Linked DNA regions of Arabidopsis thaliana. The protein of the gene in region 2 purifies or fractionates together with the protein of the main gene of each other region. This does not show direct contact. Each region holds a gene or a part of one and is shown on either strand. Other genes may lie near its edges. The genes, in order: AT1G63770 and AT3G54470.

Region 1 (6,541 bases), on a different chromosome or scaffold from region 2:
GGAACCAGTCACGGCATGTCACCCTGTTGTTACAAGTAGACTTTTAGTCATATATTAGGCCACACACTAAGAATGTTTCATTTATAAAATATACTGCACAGAGAAGCATCTATTTTATACCAGAAACAAAATTAGAAGATTCAATAAGAAAGATTAATCAATTGTACTAGCAAAGGGAAGGAGAGATGAGGCTGACCTGTTCCCTGTCCAATTGTGAAAGTACTGCACAAAGAGCACAATGAAAGATGAGTTTAATGAAAATTAACTGAAACGCCAGAAAATATATCAATAAACGATTACATACCTCATGACCAATAACACCCAAAATTGCAGCGTAATCTGCATCTGTTGCTGTTTCTGGAGATGCTAGGACAAGCTTGGAATTAAAAATCTGTAAAGTAGAAGCTCATGGATTACCATCAAATATAATGTTTACAAGTACATGATTTCTTATAAAGTAAGGTAGGGTTACATTCAAACTCTTGTTTTCCATGGCTCCCCTGAAAATCGAGCGAAAATCAATCAGTTTGTCTGGTATCGACAGTAAGAAAAAGAAAAATGGACAGAATATATTTGCAAAGGGATTAATTCTACAAGTGTGACAGAATCCACCATTTGGTCATACATGTTAAAATCTGGAACAGCAACAATGTTGAAGAGATCCAGGTCATACTCAAGCCCGAACACCTAGTGAAAAAAGGGTACACATAAATAAATAATCAGATTCAGTAACCTAACAAGTAACAACTACAATTTAAAAAATGCAAGTGCTTACATCCTCATCCCACTTCATGGCCGCTTTTAGGGAATACATGGCATGGGCAGTCTTTGGTAGATCTTCTGCAGGAGTCCAGATTTTCAGGGAAACCTGCCTACCAGAGCGTGTGGTAAATGTATCATCTCTGCTCACTAGCTGTCCAGCCACCAAAGCAAATAGATAGCACGGTTTCTTGAATGGATCCTCCCATAAGGCATAGTGTCGACCACCCTACATTTCCATAAACAATTATGCTTTCAGCAAAGACCAAGCCGAGAGACACTTGGCAAACAAGAAAGAAGGCATTATTTTGCTGACCTCTATATCTCCTTGAGAAATGAGGTTTCCATTGGACAATAACACAGGATAAAGTGTCTTGTCACCTTCCACACGACACGTGTACTTAGCCATTATATCAGGACGATCCTGTCATTTCATAATAAGAACACAATGTAAGAACATCAATTGTACTACCCCAACACCAGTCATCTTATCAACAAGTAATCAACCTGGTAAAATGTAATTTTGCGGAAACCTTCTGCTTCACACTGTGTGCAGAAATTCCCAGAAGACTTGTAAAGCCCCTAACAGAAGAAATTAAAAAGGTTAGAAGAAATCATTTACATCATTGAAAGTTTAAAAAGAAAGGAAAATAAGTTCACCTCAAGTGAAGTATTCTTGTGGGGGTATATCTCAGTATCAATCTCCAAAACAAAGGACTCCTCAGCTGGAAGCGAAGGAAGAGTTAGATGGCGAGAGTCCAACTGGTAATCCCCTTCCTAGCCAAAGTGAAAAGAGAGACCAAGTATCAGAGAGGAAACTGAGTTACTTATTCTTAGTCAACTGAGTTGCTTGTCTTAGAGAAAAGTCTATAAAGTGAGCCTAGAGATACAAATATTTTCCGAAAGGAAAAGTATTGAATGGATACCTTAAGAAGCTTCCCCTCAACCTTGACAGAAAGTAGCTTCAAGTCATGTCCATCCAAGACCAATGCAGCAGAAGATCCTGGCCAACATGATACTTGTTCAGATGTGATGTGAGAAAAAAAGAAGCAAAAATCCATCTTAAAGCTATGCAAACAGCTCATGCAAAAGAAAAATAAACTTGTATGTTCAGCTTAAAGAAACAGCAAAGTACTAGACTGTTGTACCTTTAACTCGAGGAGAAACCTTGATTTTAGAGCTAACAATTGTTTTCTCTTCACCTAGAGAGAAGCTCAGATCCACCTAAACAAACAAACAAAAAAGCTTCAAATAACAACAAAATGATTCTAGTCATATACTCAATTTGGAATTAAAAGAAAGCTAGCATACAGTTTCAAAGTAGTAATCAGGCTTTGTGTAGTTCTTGAGAAATATTTCTTTAGGTGCATCCATTTTGGAATCTTCAGCTTTATCCGGAACTGATTCTGTGGCAACAGAACAAATGAGCCTCCTGCTGTTTTGCTTATGTGTCTGACATATAAAACAGAATATGCATTTATTTTAACTACACAAATACAGCATTAAACTAATAACTTTTGGATTTTATCTATCATAAGGGAAGGATAGAGCAAGTTACATCAACAGAATGGGGTAGAAACCGATTCTTCCTCAAACAAATGGCCTGAAACAAAGAATTACAGCAAAGATCATTCTCTATTTACATAGCGTGGCACTTGATGATAGAAGAAACAAAGAAACACAAACCTCGGAAGTAAGAAACGGTCTGTGTTGAGTAAGTCTGTTTGCCGAACTACGAAGACAACTGCTTCTAACAGGAACCTGTAAAAGAGAAATTAACATAATTATAAACATATAAAGATGGAACAAAACAAAACAGAAGTCATAGGAACACAAGAATCAAGAACAATTTCTTATTCTTACACAAGTTCTTTCCAAGGTTTGTGTACACAACCGAATTCAAAAGTAAAACATGTAAAAACTAAACTCTCAACAAAAACATACAATTCGAACAGAACTCCATCATTTTAATTATATCATTTCTATTGTCAGAATCAATCAAAAATACAACATTCTATATCTATAACCAAAAGAAACAAAAAAAAGAGTTAAAGGGTAATCACAGGAGCACGAGAGAGCAAACCCAGAAGATTGACTCTCGCCAGAGACGAACTTCGACAAGGAATTATCAACCGAGCCATTTAAAAGAACACCCAAATTCTAAAAATCCCTAAAGCAACAATAACTCTTAACAATAAAATTAAATTAAAAACACTTCCTCCTTGTTGCGGCTAAAATCTCCAATCTATAAACCCTAGATGATAACTCTCTCTACTCACTATAAACAGAGAAGAATCAAAAGAGAAAACACAGAGCAGTAAGTTATGGACTTTTATAAAACTAATGGATAGAATTTAAAATGAAAAATATGGCCGAGAAAATTCGATATAATATTAACAAAAAACAAAAATAAAACTGGGAAGCAAGCAAATGATTAAACGAAATTAAAATTCGATTTCGCGACTTTCACAGAGATCAAATCGATCTGAGGAAGACGAAGAAGTAAATTACCGATAGATCCGATGATCAGATGAAAGAGACACAACTGAAACTATGAGACGAAACCTGGGACTGATATATATATAACAACACGATGAAAGATATTTATAATTAAAAAATAAAAATTATAGTTTAGAATTTTGACAATTTTGTGTTTATCCATTTTCCAATACCTTTTAGCACTTCGATGCTGCTCAGATAATTTTTGTTTGAATTCGTGGATAAAAATACTACTACAAAATTTTTTATTATGACTCACGCAACAGTATATGGTTGAAGATAAATACTAATTGAAGACAAGAAAGTTTTGTTTTTATAAGCTAAACGTTAAAACAAAATCATCGCAATTTTCTCTAAGGACACAAAAACTGAACAGCTCTTCCAACAGAATGATAAGTAAAACAGAATTTAGATAAAGGGTTCAAAGCTGTTCCGTTTAGTCATCATTCACCGATGAACTTGCGCTTTTTAGAGGTGTTCATGTACGGTCTTATAACCCATTCGATCTCTGCTTCATTTTGTTCCACAGTTCCTAATTTCACCTGCAAAAATAATTGCATTACACAGAAACAACATTGTTACTAAGGAACTAGAATGATTCTTTATCAAACCATTATTTTACTCGAGGAAAACAGTTTTGATTCGGTTAAGCAGAATGCGTACCTGGTAGAGCCGCAACTCAAATCGAGGACCGATTTCTTTAAGCTCGATTGATTTTGGACCTCCCTCTCCTTTATCATAGACATGATTCCTATATATATATACCCACAAGAATTTATAAAAATCTCCATCTGTTGTATTTACAGTGTTCTTACATGCTGTTTCTATGTGGATCAGATTACCAAATGCTAACATAAGCCTTAAGACCTTAGGCTTTGCATACTACAATTGATGTCACCAATTAAAATTCGTAAAATCTGATCATTGTGAGAAAATTTTACCTGAATGATATATAATCGGATTGATTAGAAAAAGTAACTATACGTTTTGCATCCAGTTTTGGAGCAGGGAAGATATGTTTTAAGATGTTTCCAACTCTTTGACCCATCTGCAAAACAAAGGGAAATCAAATTTGAAAATATGTTTACATTAGAAATGAATAAACCAGAGCGATCATTCTATGAGACACGACGAAGCTTGATGGTTTCCAATACCAAATTACAGTAAGAACGAAGTGAATTTTGGCTCTAGAGATATACCTGAGTAGTAAAGTTGTTAAAAATGAGATGAGGATATTGCTCAGGCATTTTTCCAATGGATTTCTTGTCTGAAATATCATGTCTTGTTACCTAAACAGAAGGGACTTTGGATTAAGTAAAAAGGCTAAACTAGGAGTTGAAAGAAGAAAGATTTGGATATAAAAATCAGATCCTCAAAGAGTTACTTACCACATTAAGTAATCCAAAGTATGCAGTTGGTCCAAATGGGAGATGAGAGATAATGAGACCATCAGGCACACCACGGTGCTCATGAACCAATATAACATCAGTAAAATCATGGGAACGAGCAGTTTCAATGATCTCAGAAATGACCTGCAAATTAACAGAGTGGGAAAGAAACTTAGATTACGATTCGAATGCAACATAGTTTCCGTGTTACACTTACATAGAGAGGTTTTGTGTTGAATATAAGTGTCAGTACAACTCCAGCTTAAATGATCGTTTATATTAGTCTTGCTTTTATTTGAAATCTAGATTCTGCAGAATTGGACAGACTCAACTACATTTTAAATTATAAAGCTTGATCTAATATGCAATTCATTGATATGACCAGTGTTGCGCATAAATTCAACAATAATCTGATACAAGTCTATGCACATGCAATAGTTATACCCAGGAAACAAAAGGGAGCTAATACCATTGGCAATCAATTTAACAACATCGATGAAGAAACCACAAGCAATGATCAATTGCAAAACAAAACCAGATTACAGAAAAAAAGAGAATTAGATATTTCCAAATGACTTTAAGTGCAGAAGCCAGAACAACACACATACCTGACTACCACGATTTATTCTCTGAGAGTTAGGAAACACAAACTTCAATTCCTGCAACAGAAACCACACCATCAATGAAAAGGAATCAGGAACATTATAACGTCAGCATCTATTCAACGACGGAAACTAAACAAAACAATACCTTAGTGAATCGGATGAGCGGAGCACTTGGATTCCTAGAAGTTGTCAACAAAATCTTTGGATCTGCTTCCGTAGCATTTGCATATTCATCATCGATATGACTCCGCGGAACTAGTAACAACATGATTAGATGATAACCATTAGCTGATGCCACAAACCATTCATATCACAGGTTCAAACCAATTGGAAAAATCTAGCTTCCAAATTCTTACCAGCTGTGTTTTGGTCTTCAAGATCAATTTCTTGTCGAAGCTTGGCTTCGACGTTTCGGAGCTCAGTAGGAATCGGCTTTCCTTCTGTTAAACCATATAAACCAAAATCAGAAAAACGAAAAATACACATCGAATCAATGATTGTTTCAACAGATACTGAAAAAAAAAATCATCACTAGACCTTGAAGGGCTTCTCTTATCAGCCGCTTCTGCTCATAGACCTTACGCTCATCACCTTCCAAGCTTTTCCTGTAGATATACTCTTTTTTTAACCTTACGAGTCTGCGTTGCATCGTGATTCGTCGTGAGGCTAAAACACGGATGTGGCGGATTAGGGTTTTAGGTAAGGGTTTCGAGAGAAGCCGGAAGAAGAAGACGACTGAAGAAAAATAGCGAAGTGTTGAGAAAACGGCAAGGTGTTTGTCATTCAAAACGTGAGGCGGAGATAGCTAGCTATTTTGGGCCGTTTATTTATTATGTGGGCCTAAAGAAGCCCATAGGAAAAGAAAAAAAATAGTAAAAATGGTAAAAAGGTGCCCTCACGCAGGATCGAACTACGGACCTTCAGTTTACAAGACTGACGCTCTACCACTGAGCTATAAGGGCATTTCTGTCTTAAATAATACTGTGATTTTAATATTTTATTAGATAAATCTGTAAGACCATTCATAATTTACAACAAACTATACTTTGAACAGAGGTGCACAACATGAAGATTAAAAAAGCTTCAATAATTTACATTAAACGACCATAAAATGACAACGTAAACAACAAGAGAAATAGAGATTTTACAGTTCAATTAAAACTGGAACCTTTAAACATTCATTGATTATTCATATATACATGATACATACAAAGTCACCAGCTTCTTTTTGTCATCCCCGGTTTAGCCATCTATTAAGCCAGCTACATGATTCATATCAAGACCAATGCG
Region 2 (6,541 bases):
CCTTGCTCCCGGATAAAACTCGTCTCTTCGATTTCGGAGTCTTTCGCTTACCACTACTCTCTCCCTCAACGCACTTACGGCGTTTCTGCGGAGTCTCCAATCGACCGTCTTCAATTGTTCCGGAATTCTCAACATCATGATCTCCTTTTGACGAAATTAGGGATTGGAGATTAGAGATGGGATTAGTGAGGGATAAGATCAAGCCATTTTCGGATTTGAAACCGGTGACGGAACCATCATTGAAGATGAAACAAGACGAGCCCGATTGAAGAAGATCAGGCGAATCGACGGAAAGAACGGTACAGAGAAAACCACAGAGTTTGTGATCATCGGCCATCGCCGCCAGAAAAAAAAATTTATAAGGCTTTGTAGATTTGCTTTAGGAAAATCTCATCTTTCTCTTCTTCTGTTTCGAGTCCGACCTCTGCGAAAGAAAAAGAAAATAAATCGCAATGAAATTAGTCAATGACTAAATAGGGTTTATGTTTTTTAAAGAAAAAACGGGAAAAAAATCTTATTTGTTATTGACTTAATTCTCTCTCATCCAGCTCAGCAAAACAATTTAGAGAGTTTCACGTGTGTTTTTCTAACCAATGAGATAGCTACACGTGCACCGTTTTCAAAACAATGGATATGGAGATAATGTTTATATTTAAATTCACATAAATTGATCTAAACGCCGTCGTTTTACTAACATAACTACTAACAAAAAAAAACGACCCAATAGAGTAAACCCGTGTGAGACTTTGTGTAAAACAAGACCTGCCCATATTAAGCCCGTGTTTTTTTGGATTTGGAAAACAATTTGTGGGCTTGCAATTTTATCCGGGTTTTGAGTACCCAGTGGGTTTAAGCCCACATAGATTGATATAAACAATTTGTGGGCTTACAATCTTAAAAAACAATGTATTAAGATTCAAGACTAATCAAAATAGCAAGTTAGTTTTGAAGTTTTAAGCCCAATAGAATTTGAAGTTGTTTTATGATCATTTTTGAGTAAATGAAATAGCAAGTCTGTCACTTGTTACAGAAGTCTTTCTACACTTGAAATCCCTTCCTGAGTACTTGAGTATTTGGCAACATTTTCACGCACATGCCCTGTGTGTAAGCGACTGTAACTTAACCTGTAAATTAGTCTTTATATTATCTCTTCGTGTTTTGATTCATTACGTGATTTGAGTTACATTTGACAAAATGCCTCGGCCAAATCCAAAGGATCCAGAAATTGTGATCAACCGTACAAATCATATGAGATCAACTACTCGCCACGCTTCACTTTATTATTATTGAGAACTGAGAATCACTCAATCAAGTAAACAATCAACGAGACATGAGTCTTAAAATCCATCCTCACATAAATCACACAAAAACTAGCACAATCTTATAGCACTAGAACACAAAAACAAAAAATCTCAGCCATCTCTCAGGATCGAATCTACTGAGAGCATTTCTCCAAGTATGCATTCCATCCTTGAACTCTATACTCATGAGCCGTCTCTGCTGGGTTTTCCGCCTTTATGATTCCCCGTCCCACGATTATAATATCACTTCCCCTCTCAGTAATCACCTAAAATAAAATAAAAGAGCAATCAACATTATATTTCAGACTAGAATACTAACAATGGATGTAAGATAAATGTGGTAAGGTTGGGAGAGACTCACAGAGTGTGGAGTGTTATACTGCTGACCAAGTGCATCACCACCTTTCACCATTTGAACACCAGGTGTTGCATGAATCATAGACGGATACACATACCCGCATTTCCAAGATGCTGGATTCACCGAGATGAATCCCATCACAAAATCAGAATGAGCGTCTGCGATTTTCACAGCTGCTGCAGTGTAGTCTCCTGTAGCCAGGTTACCTGCAGAGCTCATTTCAGCAAGCAAAAGCAAACCTCTACCACGAGGCATACCCTGCAATCATATAGGAATGCAACAAAACATTAGAAAAACAAAAGAATCTATAATCTGGTAATAAAGAGAAATGAAAAATACCTTCAATTTCAGGCCATCCACGATTCCTGGCCCCGATATTACATGAGCGTTGATAATATCAGCCCACTCCAATATTTTAAAGATGCCTCTGCGAACAAACCAGAAAAAATTGGCACACGAAAACTCGAAAAGACTTGAATGAAAGCTAAGTGACATAATGTAGAAAAATTACCCTTCATACTGCATAGTGACAGTGTTACCAATGTCTGCAAACTTGCGATCCTCAAATATGAGAAATTTGTGCTTGTCTGCAATCTAAAGTAACAATAAACAATAGATCAATGAGTATCAAAGAGACCAATTAATCAGTAACAGACATGAGACTCATGTCTATTGCAGATATTACAATCTTCACTTACTCTATATAACTAAACCTATCAAAGAAACAGAATTTCGAAGATGTGTGAGAGCAAATTAGTACAAAAGTAATTACCGCACGGAGCTTAGAGCCAAAGTCAGGGGTGAAATCAGGCAGTATATCAACATGAGTCTTCAAGAGACAAATCTCTGGTCCCACCTGCATCAACACAAAACATTTGGAAGAAGATGTCACTAAAACATAATTCTAATGAACAGTCTTCAAACTTCGATACCAAGAATGATCCTAACCTTATCTGCGATGTCAAGCAATTCAGCAGCAGTTCCAACATCAGCAGCTAAACAAAGATTGGTTTCCTTCTTCAACATAATATCAAACAGCTTCTTCCCTGTCGGATTCTTAGAAAGCTCAGACCTTTCCTTGAACCCCAAAACCCTAGGCTTAGGCTTAGGTTTCTCCACACTTGGAACACTAACCCTACGATTCTCTTCCAAAAACTTAAGCAAATTCACTTCAACCTCCACTTCAATTTTCCCCTTTTCCTTCAAAACCCTAACCATATCCGTCAACATAATCATCGAATGTAACTTAATCCCATTCTCCGCTAGATTCTCCCTACCCCCTTGTTGCCTATCAATCAAAACCACCGCGTCACTAACCTTTAACCCCACAGCACGAAGAGGAGCAGCAGTCTCGAGAACAGAAGCACCACTAGTTACAAGATCTTCAATTATCAAACAAGTTTGATCCTTTTCGAAGATTCCTTCAATAGCTTTAGATGTTCCATAGTCTTTAATCTCCTTACGCCGCATAAGCATAGGGATACCATTGGAAACAGAGACAACAGTGGCGATAGGGAGAGCAGTGTAAGGAACACCACAGACGACGTCGAAGGTTGCAGAAGGTGGAAGAGAAGAGATGAGAGTTTGAGAGATCTGTGTTAAGAGGGATGGATAAGAGACGATGAGACGAAGGTCGATGTAAACCGGAGAAAAGATTCCAGATTTGAGCTTGAAATTGCCGAATTTCACGGCGCCGATTTCATGCAGCTGGAGAATCAGTGCTTCCATGGCTGACATTTTTTCTTCTGCTGCTTTTGGAATCGGAGAATTCGATAAGCGGACTTGGAACGACTGCACACTGGAGAGTGTTGGCTTTATATACTTTAGGTTTTGTCTTATTTTTGGTGTTTCAATGTTTTTATTTATTTTAATATGTAAAATTATTCGTATTTATCATCTTTTATGCATTCAGTTTTCGTTTTATTTTCCTAAAAAATCTACTCTGAATATGTCATTTTATTTACATTTTAGAAATACTTTTTCATTGTATAGAATATTTTTTTGTTGAAGTCATTGTCTACAACAATTGTTGCAATTTCTTTACTATAATAAAGCTGTTTTCTGTTGCATTGTTTGAAATTCTCTCTAATATTTTTTGAGAGAAAAAAATCTCTAATATTTTGATAACAGTGAAGAAAGAAACCATTTATCACAAAAGATACACTAAGCAGAAATTATAAAAATCCAATTGAAATGAATTCGGCAATTCGTCCTAAAAAGGACATTATTTCTGAACATAATAAGCATACAACAAAGGACCTGTCTGGTCTTAAGGGGAAACACAAAGTACAAATGAAGATGGATCATTTCCCATCATCACACAGATTACTAATGTTACAGACAGAAGAAGAAAAATAAATAAAACCAGCAAAAATCATTCATAATCTACATCAAACCAGAAATAGAGGTAAGCCTTGGAATACATGACTCGAACACGCTGCAGAACCAAGTCTCCCCTTGTTGAAACAGCCTTTGCACCTCCCTCGATTCTTGTCTGCAAAACGGTTACACTGTTTGCTTTAATCTTTCCAGTAACAGTTTCTTTCACTTCCACATGGCTTAAGATATTTTCAATGTCTTCATCTCCAGCAGTGCTCACGATTGGGCATGAGAGATGATCCAAAGGGTTTGTCTCACATTGAAGCACACATCCATCAATCGTTAGCCTTCCACTCCTATGAAGCAAACAGCACCCGAGCTCTGCTTTTACTGTTAAATTCGCAAGCTTGCAGGTTGATAACAGTTCCAGGGCACTGCACAATAAACCCAACAACAAAAAGCCGTATACCAAAGTATTTTCCTTTTCTTTAAACATCAATGGGAAATGCGGTATTCAACAACTTTTAAGAAGCTAAAACCTCCCAGAAAGAATTTTGAAAACAACTGTAGAGAGGAAATGTCTTAAGAGGGAATATGAGTTCCAAACCTGTCTGAACCACGAGCACAGACGAGGGTGGTTTCATCAGGAATCTCGCCTCCACCGACCTGAACAAAGCGAAGATAATATAAAACTGAGACTACTATCGAACATTGAGACTTATGTATCAACATCATCCTCAAGGCATCTACTTTCAATAGCTTAGGAACTCCTTTCAACCTCAAGGCGTACATTCTTCCACTTAACTGAAACTAGGGACACTGATAAGCCAACCCCTAATCTACACTGAGGTATTCTAGGGGTGTGCATCCATACATTCATGATAAATCACTCATATTTCTGCAACTCTATCTTTTCATCCTAATTCATACACCAAGGTCTACTTTCAATAGTTTTCATTACAGCTTACAGTCATTCCATGTGTTGCCCAGTATGAGAAAAGGAACATTACTGATAGGTAGGTGGCAAGTGCATAAAAGACTTTGAAGTCGAACTGAATTCTTTTTTTCGAGTTCTCACGACAGTCAAAGAAAATTTTAGTCATCAAGTTCTAGTTCTTTAACACTCGTTAAAACGTCCATGTCACAAACAGCTCGTGCTTAGTTTCCAGTTGTGGCATTGAAAGTAATTGTGTGCAAGCTTAAGATATCTTTCATTTCTATTTTGGTACCTAAGACGTGGCATTGTTTTCTCTGGATCTCTTCAATGCATACTGATCTCAGATGCCGAGACCTATGGCATGGAATGGAATCTCCATCCTCATGAGAATAGATATGTTACCATATGTTCACATGTTTCTTGGATACTACACAGATGTTGGTATAAATGGTTTATACTAAGTCCTATAAATTATTTTTCACTACTTGCGATTTTTGAAGTCTAATTTTTTTTGGCAAGACTCAAGAAACATGTGAAAGTAGACCAATTTCACATTGCCATTTCTAGAGAAAGTTATAAACGATTCTTTCAGAAATATCAAGCAATTACACTAGACATATATTCTTTGAAAGACATACCAGGCAAAGAGGCTTTTTAATCTGAATATTAGAAACGCGATAGTTCCCACCGGCTACTATTAAAATGGTATCGCCGGGTCTAGAGGTGACAATTTGGTTAGATTTATGGACCCTTTTACGAATAACAAAGAAGTGTAAATAACGTAACTGATAATATTACAAACCTTGCTGCAGATACAGCTGACTCAATGTTGAGGAAAACTCCAGGCTGAGATAAATCCTTGACAAAACGGTCAACACGGAGCCACAAGCGAGGGTGACACGCCAGATATCTCCATCTGTGGCAAACGAGTGCTGTGTTATACCTATCTGCAAACTCACAAGAGATACACAAAACAGCATTGAAACAGACTGTAGTACGCAACAAATGCCCAAGTCAATCATACAAACAAAATACGAAATTTTCAAAGCTTCACACAACACCATACAGATCAAAACATAGCAATTCAATACAAAGTCAAAAGCTTTCTTGCTGATTCTGTTACATTACTACAAAGCTGTATCACATACACACCAAGTCAAGAGAAACAGATAATTCATCATGGAGATTAGAATTGAATTCAATTATGATTTGATTAGGATCTGCAAAGTCTCAAAGTAGTAAATTTGAGACACAGAACCGTCATTAAGATGTGAAACAGTTGGTCAAATTTTCTAAATGAATTACAAACAACGAAACAATTAAAAGCAGAATTGAACAAAGAAGTATAAAAGTATGAGAAAACCAAAGTAATAGATGCGAAAAAGAAACCAATTTTACCTGGAATTGGAGATAGGAAGCTGAGGATATGCATAAGGCAACCATCGTCGAGATTGTTAAGAGACGTGAGAGAATAAGGTTTCATTCTCTTCTTCATCTTCGATTCAACAATTCTCTCTGGATGCTTCTTATTGTCGAGCTTTGAGATCTCATGTAACTCCATGGCCGCTTTAGGAAGTATGAACCCTAACTCGTCGCCGTCGTTAATAACAGCCGACTCAACTATCC

Evidence for each region.
Region 1: the proteins of AT3G54470 (region 2) and AT1G63770 fractionate together in Arabidopsis thaliana (co-fractionation; one large-scale study listed by BioGRID). This does not show direct contact.

What each region holds. Positions count from the first base shown.
Region 1 is NC_003070.9:23,661,344-23,667,884, forward strand, and holds the start of AT1G63770 (Peptidase M1 family protein), read right to left. Parts: upstream 3,155-6,541; 5' UTR 2,901-3,154; coding exon 2,823-2,900; exon of another isoform or gene 2,521-2,822; coding exon 2,446-2,520; intron 2,363-2,445; coding exon 2,318-2,362; intron 2,212-2,317; coding exon 2,071-2,211; intron 1,984-2,070; coding exon 1,908-1,983; intron 1,763-1,907; coding exon 1,686-1,762; intron 1,537-1,685; coding exon 1,420-1,536; intron 1,342-1,419; coding exon 1,267-1,341; intron 1,184-1,266; coding exon 1,076-1,183; intron 989-1,075; coding exon 776-988; intron 688-775; coding exon 626-687; intron 501-625; coding exon 473-500; intron 392-472; coding exon 305-391; intron 223-304; coding exon 197-222; intron 24-196; coding exon 1-23. Other genes in the region: IMP4 (Ribosomal RNA processing Brix domain protein), read right to left, coding at 3,702-3,800, 3,922-4,009, 4,200-4,306, 4,458-4,547, 4,647-4,790, 5,255-5,305, 5,397-5,506, 5,608-5,691 and 1 more. UniProt on the Arabidopsis thaliana protein: Aminopeptidase with broad substrate specificity for several peptides. Involved in proteolytic events essential for cell growth and viability. Plays an essential role during prophase I of meiosis.
Region 2 is NC_003074.8:20,166,850-20,173,390, forward strand, and holds AT3G54470 (uridine 5'-monophosphate synthase / UMP synthase (PYRE-F) (UMPS)), read right to left. Parts: upstream 3,472-6,541; 5' UTR 3,397-3,471; coding exon 2,608-3,396; intron 2,516-2,607; coding exon 2,432-2,515; intron 2,254-2,431; coding exon 2,171-2,253; intron 2,087-2,170; coding exon 1,999-2,086; intron 1,918-1,998; coding exon 1,663-1,917; intron 1,568-1,662; coding exon 1,436-1,567; 3' UTR 1,156-1,435; downstream 1-1,155. Other genes in the region: AT3G54460 (SNF2 domain-containing protein / helicase domain-containing protein / F-box family protein), read right to left, coding at 1-337; SKIP5 (SKP1/ASK-interacting protein 5), read right to left, coding at 4,034-4,412, 4,586-4,644, 5,554-5,632, 5,718-5,862, 6,314-6,476.